5 linked regions of the Macaca fascicularis genome follow. The protein of the gene in region 2 purifies or fractionates together with the protein of the main gene of each other region. This does not show direct contact. Links are inferred from orthologs where the notes say so. Each region holds a gene or a part of one and is shown on either strand. Other genes may lie near its edges. The genes, in order: TDRD3, FXR1, CEP63, ORC2 and G3BP1.

What was found.
Region 1: the proteins of FXR1 (region 2) and TDRD3 purify together in Homo sapiens (affinity purification with mass spectrometry; 3 studies listed by BioGRID and IntAct, with this or other methods). This does not show direct contact. The link is inferred for Macaca fascicularis from reciprocal best matches to the Homo sapiens genes FXR1 and TDRD3.
Region 3: the proteins of FXR1 (region 2) and CEP63 purify together in Homo sapiens (co-immunoprecipitation; 3 studies listed by BioGRID and IntAct, with this or other methods). This does not show direct contact. The link is inferred for Macaca fascicularis from reciprocal best matches to the Homo sapiens genes FXR1 and CEP63.
Region 4: the proteins of FXR1 (region 2) and ORC2 purify together in Homo sapiens (affinity purification with mass spectrometry; 4 studies listed by BioGRID and IntAct, with this or other methods). This does not show direct contact. The link is inferred for Macaca fascicularis from reciprocal best matches to the Homo sapiens genes FXR1 and ORC2.
Region 5: the proteins of FXR1 (region 2) and G3BP1 purify together in Homo sapiens (affinity purification with mass spectrometry; 3 studies listed by BioGRID and IntAct, with this or other methods). This does not show direct contact. The link is inferred for Macaca fascicularis from reciprocal best matches to the Homo sapiens genes FXR1 and G3BP1.

Annotation. Positions count from the first base shown.
Region 1 is NC_088391.1:39,937,573-39,941,089, reverse strand, and holds part of TDRD3 (tudor domain-containing protein 3), read right to left. Parts: intron 2,462-3,517; coding exon 2,305-2,461; intron 1,281-2,304; coding exon 1,155-1,280; intron 1-1,154. UniProt on the Homo sapiens protein: Scaffolding protein that specifically recognizes and binds dimethylarginine-containing proteins. Plays a role in the regulation of translation of target mRNAs by binding Arg/Gly-rich motifs (GAR) in dimethylarginine-containing proteins.
Region 2 is NC_088376.1:92,807,770-92,811,286, reverse strand, and holds part of FXR1 (RNA-binding protein FXR1), read right to left. Parts: intron 3,245-3,517; exon of another isoform or gene 3,224-3,244; coding exon 3,016-3,223; intron 1-3,015. UniProt on the Homo sapiens protein: mRNA-binding protein that acts as a regulator of mRNAs translation and/or stability, and which is required for various processes, such as neurogenesis, muscle development and spermatogenesis.
Region 3 is NC_088376.1:37,393,740-37,397,988, reverse strand, and holds the start of CEP63 (centrosomal protein of 63 kDa), read right to left. Parts: upstream 2,802-4,249; 5' UTR 2,766-2,801; coding exon 2,490-2,765; coding exon of another isoform or gene 2,432-2,489; intron 2,402-2,431; exon of another isoform or gene 2,295-2,401; intron 1-2,294. UniProt on the Homo sapiens protein: Required for normal spindle assembly.
Region 4 is NC_088386.1:96,692,913-96,696,429, reverse strand, and holds part of ORC2 (origin recognition complex subunit 2), read left to right. Parts: coding exon 1-56; intron 57-1,215; coding exon 1,216-1,312; intron 1,313-3,517. UniProt on the Homo sapiens protein: Component of the origin recognition complex (ORC) that binds origins of replication. DNA-binding is ATP-dependent. The specific DNA sequences that define origins of replication have not been identified yet.
Region 5 is NC_088380.1:158,640,889-158,644,405, forward strand, and holds part of G3BP1 (ras GTPase-activating protein-binding protein 1), read left to right. Parts: intron 1-1,698; 5' UTR 1,699-1,727; coding exon 1,728-2,017; intron 2,018-2,341; coding exon 2,342-2,423; intron 2,424-2,881; coding exon 2,882-3,055; intron 3,056-3,517. UniProt on the Homo sapiens protein: Protein involved in various processes, such as stress granule formation and innate immunity. Plays an essential role in stress granule formation.

The sequences.
Region 1 (3,517 bases), on a different chromosome or scaffold from region 2:
TAAATTGCCTATGGGGTGGCCCATGTGGCAACAATCTGAAGGCAGCTTTTAGGAGACAAAGCAGTCTCCAGGCAACACCAAGCAAAAAACAGGACCTCAGTCTTGCATCCACAAGGAAATGAAATTCTGCAAGAACTGGTGAGCCTGTAAGAGGACCTCAAGTCTCTGATAAGATCACCACTCCAACCAAAATCTTAACATCAGCATCTGAGACTTTAAACAGAGGCCCCAGTGAAGCTGTGCCTAGACTCCTGACACAAAGAAACTATAAGGTAATAAAGTTGCATTGTTTTAAGCCACTAACTTTGTGGTAATTTGTTACACAGCAACAGAAAACTAATACATCATGCTTACAAATCTTGCCCACGTCAAACTTTGTTTTCTCAAATGCTACACTGCCTTTTCTATATAATCTAGCAAACATACTTCAATTTTTATGAAATCTGAACATTTCACATTTGTTACAAAAGCATTTTATCTATGAGCTTATTTGGCTAGATTCAAAATATATCTGAATGATAAATTGAATTTAAAAGCATATTTCCTTAACTTTTTGGATCGTATTTTGAAAACTTATCATTTTAGAAAATATTTAATATATTATGTGCTTAGAAAAAGGCTGCATATTACCATACTTAGTTCTCTTTTCAATATGTCAATCACTAAAGTATATAAAAAAAAATCACATTGTGAAAGCATTTTCACTCACTGTGTGAACGTTTTCAAACTATGTAATATGGGGTGAAAGAAGAGATATACCAATTTCACAATCAAAATGTTATATAAGATTATATAATAAATTTTCCAAAACAACAATCTGTTTACATAGTTATATCTGTCATCTAGATATGAGCAAATTAGGGAAAAATAGTTTGGTGAGATTACTAATCCCAGTTAGGGGGCAAAATAAGCTGCCATTATGTTTTCAGAATATAACATTTTCTTCTGTGCTTTTGTCAAGCAGGAATTTGTAATTAAGTAAATTTATAAATAAACAATCAGGATATATGTTCATATTATAGTTGCTTTATTATACAGTTCCAAATAAAGTTTGGTCTCTTATAAAGAATACACTAAAAAAAAAAAAAAAAAAACCACACACACACACACACAGAAAGAAAAAAAGAAAAAGAATCGACTTTAAATTAGCCTACCTTCCACATTCAAAGTTCCCATTTTAGATTCCAAGAAATCAAATAATGTGCTTGGTGCTGATGGCCTTGCATTTCCCAGGTCCTCTTCATCTTCAGATCTTATTCGTCCCCTGCCTTTTCCTCTACCTTTAGATGTAAAAGCAAGAAATATGTACTATATATGCAAAAACAAAAAGAATATATACTAACATATAACCAAAAATTTTAAATAGGGATTTTAATTTCTTTCCATATTTTTTGTATAGTCTACATCTTTTCAGTAATTTTTTAAAGTTTTTTAAGTAATTATATTAAGTAGCACATTTAATCCTCTAAATAAATCATCTATTCAGAAGTCTGAATTTGTTTATATAAACTATCTTCTAAGTAAAAATTATAATTTATTCTTCAACCACAGACATTTTAAAAATAATATAGGACTGGGACTTGAAAAACCACATAATAAACTTGACCATGCAATGATTAAAGAATAATACCAAGGCCGGGCGCGGTGGCTCACGCCTGTAATCCCAGCACTTTGGGAGGCTGAGATGGGCCGATCACGAGGTCAGGAGATGGAGACCATCCTGGCGAACATGGTGAAACCCCATCTCTACTAAAAATACAAAAAAATTAGCCAGGTGTGGTGGCAGGCGCCTGTAGTCCCAGCTACTCGGGAGGCTGAGGCAGGAGAATGGCATGAACCCAGGAGGTAGAGCTTGCAGTGAGCCAAGATCGCGCCACTACACTCCAGCCTAGGTGACAGAGTGAGACTCCATCTAAAAAATAATAATAATAATAATATCACCAAGTAAATGTAATATTTTTGTTAATTTTTAAAAGCTTAGTCATTTACTCAGGTGGCAGAGTTCTAGAAATAATAGAACCAGTCACATATTTTCTCTGTTATTCATAACAACCTTGTTAAATAAGTCATTGTTAGACCCGCTTTGTTTTTGTTTTGTTGTTGTTGTTAGACCCATTTTGTACAAAGATGAAGACAACGAGACTGGGACTACAAATGTCTCTGTGGTTCCCAAACTGGTGTTCCTTCCACTTACCATAACGTTAAATAAAATTACAGCCCTCACAGCTAACAGCCTCTGTCAATAACAAATATTCATCTAAAAAGCAAACAATACTATCTGGCACACTGTTTAATAAATTATACCTCTCAGAGGAGGACCCATAACAGGTTTCTGTTTATTGCTTGTAAGAAGCACGTTCAATGCTGCTTCTAAGTTGTTGCCATTATCCATAAGAGCTTGCCTGGATGCTTCCTTACTGAAGCCCATTTCTGTTATGTGCTTCAGAGCTTTCTCATCAACCTGGAAGGAATAAAGAGAAAAGCTGGTTGGTAGCCCACACATAAGGCAATGCATAAACTTTTAACTATTTGCAGTCTTAACTAAAAATTACATCTCATACTTATGTAAAAATGTCATTCTAATACAACAGTCTCTTGCTGATTTTTTACAAGAGGCAAGGAAGAATCTGTATGATATGTGGGGTTGTGCCTTGAGTATTCTCTGACCTCACAAGTAACACTGCAAAAGCACAAAAAAGAAATTTTATGGTGTGTTAGAGTATGGCCTTTGAAAATAATATAGACAGTGAGGAGAAAACTACCTAATGAAACTTTTCCATGGTAAAAAATGGAAATTTTTTGACACTTCTCCATACTAGAAGAGAAATGTAATTCATACAGCACCTCTCCAAAAATGTAAAGTATTGAAGCTAACAAAATGATACCCCCCAGTAGCTTTTTTTTTTTTAACTATTACTTGAGTATTCTATATTCATTAGCAATACTATCTATGATGCCTTTGACAGCTATACTCCAACAGGAAAGTCTACTTTACAAATGCCAGAATCCAAATCTCTTTTAAAAATCTAGACCTGAATAGAATTCAAGAACCACTTAAGGAGTATAAACATATCCTACAAAGAAATTTCTTGAGCTAACCCCAGCTGAGAAAAACATAACTTTATATATCTAATAGTTAATAAGTTCATACATTGTTTTCCTGATTTCTTTAGTTCTTTGTCAATGATTTCTCTCAGACCTTTGAGCATATATAAGACAGTTCATTTAAAGTCTTTGTCTAGTTAAGTCCAATGCATGAGCTATTTGAGGCACGGTTTCTATGGATTTCTCTTTTTCTTGTGAATGGGCTAAACTTTCCAGCTTCTTTGTAGGCTTTGTAATTTTTTGTTGGGAACTGGACATTTTGAATCCTGTAATTAGGTAACTGAAAGTCAGATTGTGCCTCCTCCCCAAGGATCACTACTGTTACTTGATGAAGGTTACAGTCATCAGTTTGCTTAGTGACTTTTCTGAACTTTTTTGACAAGAAATATATTCCTTCTGATGTGTGTCCACT
Region 2 (3,517 bases):
GGCAATTTATCTCTCCTTGAATAGTGAAAAAAAAAAAACCTTTCAGAACGTTTAAGAACTTCTGAATTTATTTACACACATATACCCTATCTGAAACCATTGCCAAAATTCAGGGCAAATAAAGAATACTTCATTTTGAAGACTCTCTCAAAAGTTCCTATTGAAGTATCCTTTGAAATCCAGACTAGTATTTATCTAACCCCGTGTCACAGCAAGTAAAGTCTTCCTTAAATTTAACCTACATATAGTATTCAAGATACTTAGAGGGAATGTCTAAATCATAGATTTCAGTAGGTAAAACAGATATTGAGGCCATAACCCCCAAAATTTTAATGAATTGGCTAGTGCTCAACATTATTCATATTAAATAATTCTTAATAACCCATATGAAATGTTTCTGTGATAGCAAAAAGGACCCTGCACATGTGACTAAGGCTAAGGACGCTGAGATAGAGAGACTATCCTGGATAATCCAGGTGGGTCCAAACTAATCTCACCGGGTCTTTAAAAGTAGAGAAACTTTCTCAACTACCCAAAGGGGAATCCCACCAGACCTTCCAGAAAGAAACGTAGCCCAGCTGACAAGATTTTAGCCCAGTAAGACCCATGTCAGCCTTCTGACCAACAGAACTATAAGGCAGTAACTTTCTGTGGTTCAAGCCTCTAAGTTTGTGATAATTTATTACTGCAATTGAAAACAAATACTCTAATGAATAATCAGGGAAACCATTTATTCCAACCCCTTAATTTTGTAAAATACAAGTTGGGGATTCAAAGTCTTTTTAAACAAGCTTTAAAAGTAACGACACCAGGCTAGGCATGGTGGCTCACGCCTGTAATCCCAGCACTTTGGGAGGCACGGTGGGCGGATCACCTGAGGTCGGGAGATTGAGACCAGCCTGACCAACATGGAGAAACCCTGTCTCTACTAAAAATACAAAATTAGCCGGGCATGGTGGTGCATGCCTGTAATCCCAGCTACTCAGGAGACTGAAGCAGGAGAATCACTTGAACCCAGGAGGCAGAGGTCGCGGTGAGACGAGATCGCACCACTGCACTCCAGCCTGGGCAACAAGAGTGAAACTCTGTCTCAAAAAAAAAAAAAAAAAAAGTAACGAAACATAATGACATTGTGTTTTTAACCAATTTTAAAATCATATTTTCCCCCTCAAACTTCTAAAATCACCTTATGAAGATGGTTTATATCATTTTCAATGGTTGTGCTAAGCTTAATAGCTAAAACTAATCACGTTTTATCAACTCCAAGAGGCCATCAATTTTAAGATATTATTTTATGTGTCATTAAAAAAGAAAATGTTGTTAAAGTTGTAAGATGTCCAATTTAACGCACATACCAACTTCGGAGATGTTACACTGGGAAATGTTTCTTATAGTTCCTATTAAACTGATAAAACTCATACTTTATATATATATATATATATATATATATATATATATATATATAAAATCAACTAAAAGTCCCGCTCATATAAAGTATACATGAACATCTACAACCAAATTCAAATGGTTTTTCGTGCTTTTCCAAGCCCACTCAGATTTGGTAACTATTTCAAGAAATAAAATGTTATTAATTCCGCTAAGATTCAGAGCTAAGAGTGCCATCTACTGAACAATTTGCACAGCTTTCTTGAATCCAGATGATGTTTCTCTACCTCTCACATAAATTATCTACTCTCAACAAAAGCATTTTGCCAGAGTAAGCTCTCAATAAGCAGACTTCCCACAAAAGCTAATAAAATTATTCAATGAATTCATCATACTCTTCATCCAATAAGTCTGATTATCTATGCTAATAATGTATGGTTCAAAAATCAATGAGAATATATTTAATTTCTATGTGATTACTGGTTAACTGTCTTTTGCATTAAACATTTTCAGAAATATAATAACAGTTTGCAATTTTCATCCATTTATATGCTGAATACTTCTTTATTAGAATTTTGCTATTTAGGTTTCAATACTGCATTAAATAAAAATATATATGTAAAAATGAGAACATAAAGATATGATATTAAAGGGAAGGGACACAAACTTACAACTCTACAACAAATTGAAGATAGTTCAGGTTTAATATAACTTTGTCAGCATTACATGATCCTTCAATTAAGCAGGAAATTTGCATTTATTTCTATATTCCTTAAATGCCTTACATTTTGGAAAATGTTTTGTATTTCCTCAAAAGAGAGTAAGTATAGGAGTGAAGAAAAGAACAGGAAAAGAGAAAGAAAATGGGCGAAGGAAAAAAACAAATCAGGTCACTGCTAAGATCCAAGTCCAAATGTAGAAAAATGGAACAACTCCAAAGCTGAAGAAGAATAAGGGAGAATTTAGGATTAGAGAATTGTTGACTATCATCACTCCACTGTCCCCTTCCTACCTGGGTTATACCCAATCCTCACAGTGAAATATATTTTAGAAAATGTTCATTTATGAAGTGTTAAATTAGATTCTGGCTTTCAGAGCCTTCATTTTAGTGAAATGTTGTTAAACAAAGTAATTCCAGATGTGAGATGTTAATATATTCAAATATGCCAAATGAGTAAATAAAATATTTTTTAAAAGCTAGTAAAGACTTGCTATATGCAATCTTGGCAGTGATTCGCATACTTTTCATTTTTTACTTGAAGAGGGTAGACAAAAGATGATTCCTAAAAGTATCACCACCATTACTAGGTATTTACTGGGAAATGTATAAAACTGTACTAGCAAAGTATTTGAAAAACAAGTTACGTATGTATTATTTGTAAATATAATGAACATGACAATGAACTACCAACTTAAAAACATGCTTTGCTTCGTTACATAACTGCTTGGAAATTTTATATATTTTACTGTCATTGTAACGTATACCATCACTACTATTAAGACATGTACCAAACCTTCAAAACTACCTTCTACCCTCAAAGCCAAGATAATGAACTAATTATAAGAAAATGTGTTAGAGCACCTAAACTACTATTATTACTACTACAAAAAAAAAAAAAGTTTTTTTACCATAACCGGAGGTGTAATTAGGGCCCCGACGACCTCTGCCTCTTCCACTATAAGACCTAGAACCTTGTACAGAAGAGACGGTACTTTCATCAGTGGCATATCCTTTCTCTTTTTCAGGCCCTCTGGTGGAAGAAGGTCTGAAACCCATACCAATCTGTCGTAGCTGTTCATCAATCTGTAGGCGTTCCATTCTTAGCTGTTCTACTTCCTACAATCAAAACAAAAATGAGTAAGTCTTCTTATATATAACTTTTTGTCTTCCTAAAGCCTAGAGCTAGAGCTGTGCTCCTTACCAAAACTGTGACCTTAGGGAAGTAGATGGTAAAGAGCATTGTGTTCCTAGTCAACAGAATTGATGAGATCATTTGCTGTTTCAGTTCAACATTTATTGAACGGCCTAGAGTGTGCCGAACATGCTGCTATAGGCATACAATATAAAAGAGGACATGGACTCTCCCCGATCAAGGGGATGTTTAACAGCTTTAAAATAAGTTATTTATTA
Region 3 (4,249 bases), about 55 Mb from region 2:
TTGGTCAGGCTTGTCTCGAAACTCCTGACCCCGTGATCTGCCCGCCTCGGCTTCCCAAAGTGCTGGGATTACAGGCATGAGCCACCGCGCCCAGCCTAGGAACTGAATTTTTAATTTTATTTCACTTTAATTACCCACAGCTGGCTGGTGGCTATAATACTGGACAGTGCAATTCTACATCTAACTACTGGTTTAGAGCAGTGGTCCCCAGCCTTTTTGGCACCAGGGACCTGTTTCACGGAAGAAAATTTTTCAACACGGACAGGGTGGAAATAAAAAATTTTGTAAATATCTTTTTGTTAACATTCATATGAAATGTTTTGGGGGAGGAATGGCCAAACCACTTTTTATTTGTTTATTTATTTTCTTTTTTTTGAGATCCAGTCTCACACTGTAGCCTGGTCTGGAGAGCAACGGTGTGATCTCAGCTCACTGCAACCTTCGCCTCCCGGATTCACGTGATTCTCCTGCCTCAGCCTCCCGAGTAGCTGGAATTACAGGCGCACACCACCACACCCGGCTAACTTTTTTGCATTTTTAGTAGAGACGGTGTTTCACTATGTTGGCCAGACTGGTCTCGAACTCCTGACCTCGTGATCCGCCCACGTCAGCCTCCCAAAGTGCTGGGATTACAGGCGTGAGCCACCGCACCCGGCCAACCACTTCTTCAGTAATATGAATAATACACATGGCAAGGGTTAGGGGCATGGTTTCATGATGAAACTGTTCCACCTCAGATCATGAGTCATTAGTCAGATTCTCATAAGCATGCAACCTAGATCCCTTGCATGCGCAGTTCACATTAGGGTTCATGCTCCTAGGAGAATCTAACCCCACAGCTGATCTGACAGGAGGCAGAGCTCAGTTGGTAGGTAATGCTCACTCGCCTGTCACTCACCTCCTGCTCTGTAACCTGGTTCCTAACAGGCCACGGACTGGTAGTGCTCTGCAGCCCCGGGTTTGGGGGCCCCTGGTTTAGAAGCCATAAAGGCAACAGAGATACCTGTTAAAGGATACTGTGCAATGTAATCTGCTAAATTTAGAACTGTAAGGAAAAATAGGGGCTAATCCCATAGCTATAGCTATGAGGGAACTGCTATAGATTAAAAGATGTCAAATATGCATCACCCAAACACAACAGGCAGATCCCTGTGGGATTTTGGTTCAAACAAGCTAACTGCAAAAAAGACATTTAAGAGAGAGTTGAAGAAATCGTAATCTGACTGGACATTGACATTAGAGAATTTTCATTAATTTGTGTATGTGTAATGACAGTAGTGTGGCTTTGCAAAACTGAAAGACCTAGCTCCTGACGGGGGCGGGCAGGGGACTAAAATAACATAAAGATCGGAAATTCAGTTCCTGAAACCTTGTGTCAATGTTGGCTTTAGCTGAATTCCAAATCAAGTTGACATTTTTTGAAAGCAGGAAGCAATGACAGAGTGGACTACTGATGCTGTCACCATCTGCCAGCACAACGTAAATTAGAACAGAAAGGACTAAGCAAAGGCATTCCACCTTTTAAAGAGAGAAAATGGCATCAGTACAATCAACATATACAATTTTTACAAACAACTTTTAGAGTTGCATCTACATACATTTTAAAAGGCAGTGTGCCTGTTTATAAATCTCTACCCCATTTTAGTTTCAGAGCCTTTTTTACTACCCTGATCACTGATCATGCCACAGTCAAAAGGCAATCTCAAAAATTAATCTAAAAATAGTACTGCATTCCAAATAAGAAAATATATATACTTTGTTTTACTATTAAGCTACAGCTAACAGAAATCTAATCAACGATCCTTGATTTTCTCTTACCTAAAAAATAAACGCAAGCACGTGAGGAACTGTATAAATACAGAGCATCTACCCTACAATACTGCTTTATAAAAGAATAAATTCTTTTAATAAGTTTAACCGGACATAAAGCTCAGGGAAAACTACTTTGTGCATATTAGTGTACGGTGCTTAAACTATACAAGATGACTAGTCTCTGACATCATACACATCTTTACTCTCCTGATGTCGTATACGACATAAAAAAAACCACATTATAAGCCTAAATGTACTGTCTTCAAGTATCTCCATGATTAAAGTGTTCCTAAGAAACCGTCCTTGTTTCTTTCTATCCCTGATCTGTGTGCATGGAGCAGTTAGTTCAGGGTTCTCCAATTTCAGTCCACGATTTCTGCCATAATTCCGTACCTGCTGTACTAAACATAACCGTTTACACCAACTCACTATTTTAAAAGCTGCCAACCTTAACATGCCACCCTAAATGAGCGGGTCCCCTTGTGCCGTGAATGAAGTAGTCCTAACAGCGCTAGCTAAACAGCAGCCCTGGCCGGGAGGCCGCACAGGGGTACCTCCGCTGAAAAGAAAGGTGGGTCCGCCGGGAAAGGTGAGTACTGGGCGCAGCTCGCCCGCCCACCTGGCTACTCTCCGAAGCGCCCCCAGCCACCCGGCCTCCGAGGAAACGCTGTGACCACCTGGCGGGGCCGAACCGCGCGCCGGGCTGCGCCATGCCGGACTACGCCGGTGTGCAGGGCATAGCGGGCCAGGCCGAGGGACGGGGCTCCGGGGCGGACGCGAGCCGGCGGGGAGGCGCCTGGTGGTTCGCAGACTGTTGCGCGAACCGGCCGCAAGCCATGAGGCCGCGAAGCCAGAGTCACCAAGGCAGCCTGGGCCGCCTCCGGACCAGGACGCGCTCGCCCCTTGCGCTTCCGTCTTGCGCACGGGCGGTTACACGGCTGCAGCAAGCGCATCCCTCAGCCTTCCCGCCGTTACCTCGGCCGTGCACTGCGCACGCGCGCCACCACTAAGCTTACGTCCAGCCTCAGCAGTCGGAGCGTTCGTTCCGCCCACTGCCCCCACACTTTTAATAATTGAATCAATGTCTGCTCCAGACTTCCCCTGCACGCGAGCAAATGGACTCACCCACATCCGGGAATCCGAGAAAGAGCGTGCAGACGCGTGATGCGGTGCGAGGCAGGAGGAAGCGTCTGCCGCGCTGGGCCGCGTAACGGTAAGGGTTTGCAGCGCCCCCGGCCTAGGTTTTGGAGGCGCGGGAATGCGTTCGTGGCTCAGTGTCGGACTTCCCCCTATTTCCATCGGCCGAGGCTGTCACTTTACGCTCATAACCGTTTTCTTTACTGCACGCTGTGTCGGGAGGAAAGGGACTTGCTTGGCACCCCAGACCTCCCCGTCTCCGCTTCCACGTTTGGTACATCCTGCGTCAGGCCGGAAGCCGCGGCTGAGGGGCGGCCTCTCGTACAGTGTGGTGGCCTGCGAGGCTCATTTCTAGCAAGGAACAATATTTTTCCCGCTTTGACCTTACAGATACATGTTTACAAAGCTATAATGTATAGAAATGGATAAGACATGTCCCTGTCCCGGGAAACGCAGGCACTGCGTGTCTGGAAAGACATACATCTGGGCTGTTTGACAGGCTACCTAGTTGGTGCCATGCTCTGTGCTTAGGGAACTATGAGATCCCCGGTGGGTACCGGGACCGCGCTCAGCCTGAGGTTTGGAGGCGGCCTCCTGCAGGAAGCGACTTGAGACCTGAGATTTTTAGACTGACTATGGGTTCGCTGGAATAAAAAGGAAGAAACAAACAGCATTGCAGGCATCGGGACTGTCACGTGTAAGAAAAGTTTGTTCAGGAAACAGTTGTCGTATTGTGTGACGAGTACTTGGGACGGTGGCTGTGCCTTGGGCGTTGATTATCTTGTTGCTTTCCATCCTTCCAGCCCCTTAAGAGTGAAGGCACCTTCACGCCTAACCCCGGAAATGGGATGTTGACCTCCAAGAGCTGACGCCTGCGTTGATCTTGAAAGGAAGAGTGGCATTAGTGATGTGGAAAGGGGGGTTTTAACTGTCAAGGCTGGAAAATGTGACAGGGTTTGAGGTGTTTGGAGAAGGGACAGGTGAAAAAGATTGAGGCCAAATTGTAGAAAGATCTACTAAGGAATCCTGGGTACAAAATGTACACATAACAGTTGGAGACAATAATACCTGAGCAATTGATCACAAAGCTTGTTTAGTAGATTTAAGTTAGGACAAGAAGCAAGAGTTCAAGGATAGAAGGCCTACTGAAGCTCGAGTGATCTGAGAAAACCTTACTAAAAGGTGGAAAACCTATGTGGGCCTGGGAAAGTCAGGTTTGGATCAGCTGAGGAAAGTGAAAAGGGTATCCCAGGAGACACAGCAGCAAGGACAAAGGAGTAGCAGCAGGAAAGTGGGGAGC
Region 4 (3,517 bases), on a different chromosome or scaffold from region 2:
AAGATTCCATTCACGTTGTCATCAATGGCTTCTTTCCCGGAATCAGTGTGAAATCAGTAAGTTTCAAAATGTTAAAGGGAAAAACATTATATCCTCTGCCAATTCATGCCTCCACATAAATGAGGATGGAGTATTAAAGAATTTTTGTTTTAGTCTTCACGGTAGTAGGATTGTATAGTGCTTAATACCATGTGTTTGGACTCAGAAGAATCTAGCTTTGAAACCATCTTTGAATGTCCTACGTTGTAACTGACATGTATTAAAACTTAGGAAAATATGTTAGTTTTGTTTACTACACTGAGTATCAGTGGTACTTCTAAAGAAGGGAATTATGGGGTCTTCAGTTTTGTTATAAACTATGAAAATGCTTTATTAGGCAAAAACTCGGGGCCGGGCGCGGTGGCTCAAGCCTGTAATCCCAGCACTTTGGGAGGCCGAGACGGGCGGATCACGAGGTCAGGAGATCAAGACCATCCTGGCTAACACGGTGAAACCCCATCTCTACTAAAAAATACAAAAAAAAAAAACTAGCCGGGCGAGGTGGCGGGCGCCTGTAGTCCCAGCTACTCGGGAGGCTGAGGCAGGAGAATGGCGTAAACCCGGGAGGCGGAGCTTGCAGTGAGCTGAGATCCGGCCACTGCACTCCAGCCTGGGCGACAGAGCCAGACTCCCTCTCAAAAAAAAAAAAAAAAAAAAAAAACAAACTACATGCTGTGAAAATGCTTTAAAATGCAACAGGATGTGAAGACTATAGTTTTACAATACATTTATCATAGATCATTTTTATTTCAAATGCTCAATCTCTCTTCCTCATTTGAACATGAAATCTTTTGGGTGCTGGATATTGAGTCATGTAGTATTCCTTTTTAAAAGTGTCTATAGTGTTTGTGTCCTGTTTCCTTTGATAGAACTGTAGTTTTCTAATGTTTCTCATGTTCTTGGGAGCTTTTTCATTTGTTTTTGCTGCCCTCTTATATTACCTATTACGTTGATATCTTTGCTATTCTTTTCTATTTTCTTTTAGCCACAACTTAGGCAAAAAACAATGAATTAGATATAATTCATCGAGTACCAGTAGAATTTTTAAAAGTGATTTTTTAAAACTTTTGGGAAATCCAAATTCATTATTAATTTATAAAAAAAGGTTTGATTTTCTAGTTGTATATGACAATAAATTGTAATTAATGTGGCACCTCTTGCACATTCATGATATAGGTCCTGAATTCTATAACAGAAGAAGTCCTCGATCATATGGGTACTTTCCGCAGTATACTGGATCAGCTAGACTGGATAGTAAAGAGATTTAAAGAAGGTAACATGAAGTAGATGCTCTGTAGTTTTAGGGTAAAGTTAAGCATATACTTCTACTTATTCATGTATTTATATACATACAGTACAGTTATACATACATATTATATGTATTATATACATACATATACATACAGTATTATTATTATTTTTTATATATATATTTTTTGAGACAGTCTCTCTGTTGCCCAGGCTGGAGTGTAGTGGCACCATCATGGCCCACTGCAGCCTTGACCTTCTGGGCTCAAGCAGTTCTCCCACCTCAGTCTCCCAGGTAGCTGAGATCACAGGCGTGTGCCACTGTGCCCAGCTAATTTTGTATTATTTGTGGAGATGAGGTCTCGCTATGTTGCCCAGGATAGTCTGGAACTTCTGGGCTCAAGCAGTCCTCCTGCCTTGGCCTCCCAAAGGGCTGAGATTATAGGTGTGAGCCACCACACCTGGCCCAAAAAGATTATTTTAATAATGGCACTTATCTTGGTGCTCTAAAATAATTTGACCTTTTTCTATGAACCTTTTCTGTGAACTTAACAGGGAAGAAAAATGTTAGTCCCACTTTCTTAAGTTTGTATATCCAAAAGCCTCTTTCTGTTTATAAAACACTCCAGAAGTGCAGTGGCGCAATTTTGGCTCACTGCAACCTCTGCCTCCCGGGTTTAAGCAATTCTCCTGCCTCAGCCTCCCAAGTAGCTGGGATTACAGGCATGCACCACCAAGCCCAGCTAATTTATTTCAGAATAATTTTCAGGTTTTGTTTTGCTTGTGTAAAGTGCCTCCACTTGAGCGTTACATCTTTGTCTGATATTTTTATATTGTTTAATGTTTTTATAAAACATTATTTCTTGGCTGGACACAGTGGCTGACGCCTGTAATCCCAGCACTTTGGGAGGTCAAGCTGGGTGGGTCACCTGAGGTCAGGAGTTCGAGACCAGCCTGGCCAATATGGTGAAACCCCGTCTCTACAAAAATACAAAAAAAATTAGCCAGGCATGGTAGCACGTGCCTGTAGTCCCAGCTACTTGGGAGGCTGAGGCAGGAGAAGTGCTTGAGCCTGGGAGGCAGAGGTTGCAGTGAGCCAAGATCATACCACTGCACTCCAGCCTGGGCAATAGAGTGAGACTCTATCTAAAAATAAATAAATAAATAAAACATTATTTCTTTATTCTGTGTATATATCATTACATTGGGATAATTTTATATACTAAGATCTCTGATTCTTTTGGTGTGAATGTTTTGGTTATGTGAGTATGTCAGAAAATTGGAAATAGCATTATATAGTCTCTGATAGTTAATTGCCATTTAATAATGACTAAATTAAGAGAAGTACATGAGAATGCCTAACTGCTTTGATGGATAATTTTATTGATAATGTCAATAATCCTAGCTCTGTTTCCATAGTACTTTTATCTTGTCAATATTCTGGCATGTTCTTTAGTTTTGTCTTCATTTTGTTTCCAACCTGAAAAGCTTTCTGTCCCAAATTTCCTTTCACACTTCTACACCCATTTTACCTACAGTTCTTTATAGAAATGGACAGTATACTTTTTTGTTTTTGGTTTTTTTTTAACACAGTCTTTCTCTCTCACCTGGGCTGGGATCCAGTGGCACAAACACATTTCACTACATCCTAAACCTCCTGGGCCCAAGTGATCCTCCCAACTCAGCCTCCCCATTAGCTGGGACTACAGGCACACACCATCTGCCTGGCTATTGTTAAAATTTTTTGTAGAGATGGAGTCTCACTGTGTTGCCCAGGCTGGTCTCAAACTCCTAGGCCTCAAGGGATCCGCCTGTCTGGGCCTTCCAAAGTGCTGGGATTAACAGACATGAGCCCAGCCAGACAATATACATTTTTATACCAACTGTACACATTTGAAAACAGGTAGAGTTGATTCTCATTATTCACAAATTCTATAATAACAAATTTTCCTGCTTGCTAACATTTATTATAATCCCAAAATCAATACTCTTGGCACTTTTGCAAAGTGAAACATGCACAGAGTGGCAAAAAGTTTGCATTGCCCAATGTACACATTCTAAGCAGAGGTCAAACAAGGCAATGCTTTGCCGTCTTGTTTCAACTCTCATACTATAAACAAGCATCCTTTTCGCAGTCCGTTCAGTGCTATGTTTTTCACATTTTTCTGCTTTTGTGTCGGTGATTTGGCTGTTTAAAATGGCCCCCAAGCATAGTGTTAGAATGCTATCT
Region 5 (3,517 bases), on a different chromosome or scaffold from region 2:
TCTTGGGCTCAGACTGTCCTCCCACCTCAGCCTCCTGAGTAGCTGGGACTGAGGTACAATCCACCACACTCAGCTAATTTTTTTTGTAGAGACGGTTTTACCATTTTGCCCAAGCTGATCTCGAACTCCTGGACTCAAGCAATTCGCTTGCTTCAGCCTTCCAAAATCCTGGGATTACAGGTGTGAACCACCACCCTTGGGTTTTTTGTTAAGGGTTTAAAATTTCCAGAACATTTTTTCTCATTTCCTCCTGATCATTACAAAAATCTTTAGTGAAGGGTAAGGCATTGTAAGAGAGTTAACTTCATTTTGCAGATACACTCAGAGTGTTTAAAAATTTGCTAGTACATATGCACATGACTGTTAAGTGGTAGAACAAGTCTCTAAGCAGTTTTTACCCTTCCTTCCTTTTCTTTTTTCTTTTTTCTTTTTTTTTTGAGACAGTCTTACTCTGTTGCCCAGGCTGAAGTGCAATGGTGCGATCATAGCTTGACCTCCTGGGCTCAAGTGATCCTCTTGCCTCAGTTTCCTACATAGCTAGGACTACAGGCATGCACTACCATGCCCAGCTAAGTTTGTGTGTGTGTGTGTGTGTGTGTGTGTGTGTGTGTATATTTTTTTTTTTTTTGGTGGAGTCTTGCTCTGTCACCCAGCCTGGAATGCCATGGTGAGATCTCAGCTCACTGTAGCCTCTGCCTCCCGGGTTCCAGTGATCCTCCTGCCTCAGCCTCCTGAGTAGTTGGGACTACGGGTGCACACTACCACCATGCCTGGCTCTTTTTTTTTTTTTTTTTTTCCCGAGATGGAGTTTCGTTCTTGTTGCCCAGGTTGGAGTGCAATGGCGCTATCTTGGCTCACCGCAACCTGTGTCTCCCATGTTTAAGTGGTACTCCTGCCTTAGCCTCCCGAGTAGCTGGGATTACAGGCATGCGCCACCACGCCTGGCTAATTTTGTATTTTTGGTGGAGACAGGGTTTCCCTATGTTGGTCAGGCTGGTCTCGAACTTCTGACTTCAGGTGATCCGCCCACCTTGGCCTCCCAAAGTGTTGGGATTACAGGCGTGAGCCATTGCGTCCAGCCTTTTTTTGTGTTTTTACATTTGGTTAATTTATTTCAACCCCATAGAATAAAACTGACATAAAACATGACAACAAGAAAGAAGTATAGGCCAGGCATGGTGGCTCATGCCTGTAATCCCAGCACTTTGAGAAGCTGAGGTGTGCTGAGAGGCTGAGGTGGACTGAGAGGCTGAGGTGGGTGGATCACTTGAGGTCAGGAGTTCAAGACCAGCCTGGCCAATATGGCGAAACCCTCTCTCTGTACTAAAAATACAAAAAAAGGCGGAGGTTGCAGTGAGCTGAGACTGCGCCACGGCACTCCAGAATGAGCAACAGCATGAGACTCTGTCTCAAAAAAAAAAAAAAAAAAAAAAAAAAAACGGTGTTTACCTGGAAGATGGAAGACAAATGTCAAATCTTAATAGTGGTTGTCCCTGGGTTAGAGCATTTTGGTGTGTTGCTTTCTTGATGGAATATTGTTTTAATGAAAATGGATCAAAGAAGGACATAGATGGGTGAAAACTATGAGGAATTGACTTTGACATTCTTAATTGCATCAGCAAAAATGATTAAAAAGTGCTTTTAAAACCACTTGCATGAACTAGGTGTTTAAGGGAAACTGCTCACATTTATTCTCAGATACATTAATTAAAGGACACTTGAAGTCTATGGAGAATATAGCTGTTCCAGCCTTACTGCATATTTTCTTCCTGAGTGAAAATAGGAACTTATGTATTGGTGGCCATCTTGACATGCAACTACAAGATCCTTCCCAACAGTATCATCCTACGCCGAAACCTGGAACCAAATCCATTCCCATTCAGCAGATGTTGATCAAGTGGCATGTAGGGGATAGAGAGATGATTGCATACAAAGATGAAAAAGAAAACACATTTCTGCCAGGGCCAGGCGCGGTGACTGACGCCTATAATTCCAGCACTTTGGGAAGCCAAGGCAGGTAGGATTGTTTGAGTTTGTGAGTTCGAGACCAGCCTGGGCAACGTAGTGAGACCTTATTTTTACTTAAATAAAAATAATCAGCCAGGCATGGTGGCATGTGCCTGTAGTTCCAGCTACTTTGGGAAGCTGAGGCTAGAGGATCACTTGGCCGTGGCACATAGAAGCTGCAGTGAGGTATGATCGCATCACTGCAATCCAGCCTGGGTGACAGATTGAGACCCCATCTCCAAAAAAAGAAATTTGCCAGTATCAAACATGAAAAAAAAAAAAAAAAACTTAAGATACTTGAAGATGACAAGTAAATCATCTTCCCATTTTACAGATTTTATGGAAAGAACTCTTCTTATGTCCATGGGGGATTGGATTCAAATGGAAAGCCAGCAGATGCAGTCTACGGACAGAAAGTAAGCATTTCAAGCCTTATTTAGGCTGTTAAGCAGGTAGAAAATAACTCATAAAATTGAAGTGGATCATACTTAATAGGTTTTGGTGATGAGGATCAAATTTCTCAACTTTTTAGTAAAAGTTGATGTGTTTTATTACTATTTGATTAATATATTTGTTGAAATATTTATGTGATGTCAGATTTGTTAATTTTGCATGATACAAAGCTTGTGTGTGTTGGAAGATAATTGGCTTTAGCATGGGGGTCATCTTTGTGTTAATTCAGAACAGTTATTTAAAAAACTCAAGTGTGGTCACTGGGAATAGGGTATACAAAGAAACATCAAAATCCAGTCTGCGTTTCCTATAATTTAAATATGTACATTCTCTTTACCTGTGTTTTGTTGAAAGTTTTTTTTTAGTTGGAGGTTATTTAAATTTTAAGGCATTCACAGTTGATTTTTTTTTTTTTTTTAAGGAAATCCACAGGAAAGTGATGTCACAAAATTTCACCAACTGCCACACCAAGATTCGCCATGTTGATGCTCATGCCACGCTAAATGATGGTGTGGTAGTCCAGGTGATGGGGCTTCTCTCTAACAACAACCAGGCTTTGAGGAGATTCATGCAAACGTTTGTCCTTGCTCCTGAGGTATGTATAGGGATGATTATTTTGTAATGATCGAAACATGGAAAAAAAAAACAATGAACGGTTGTGCATATCTTTAATAACACTTGAAATTTCAGACTTACAGAAAACTTGGAATAATGGTACAATAACTCCTATACACCTTACCTAGAGCAGCTGTCACCACTTGCCCACATGTGTGTAATTCTTTCTCTAAAATACTCCAGTGGGCATTTCCTAAGAATAAAGAATTCTCTTCCATTCTATAGTACAGTTATCAAATTCAGGAAATGTTGATGCAGTATAATTATTCTATAATCCATATTTAAAATTTGGAAATTATCCCAATAATGTCTTAGAGTTATTTTTTTTCCTTGTCCAACATGGAATCTATAATTGCACATTGCATTTAGCTATCATGTCTCTAGTCTTTTCTAATCTGCAGTTGTTCCTTAATCTTTTGGTTTTTTTTTTATTGCATTGACA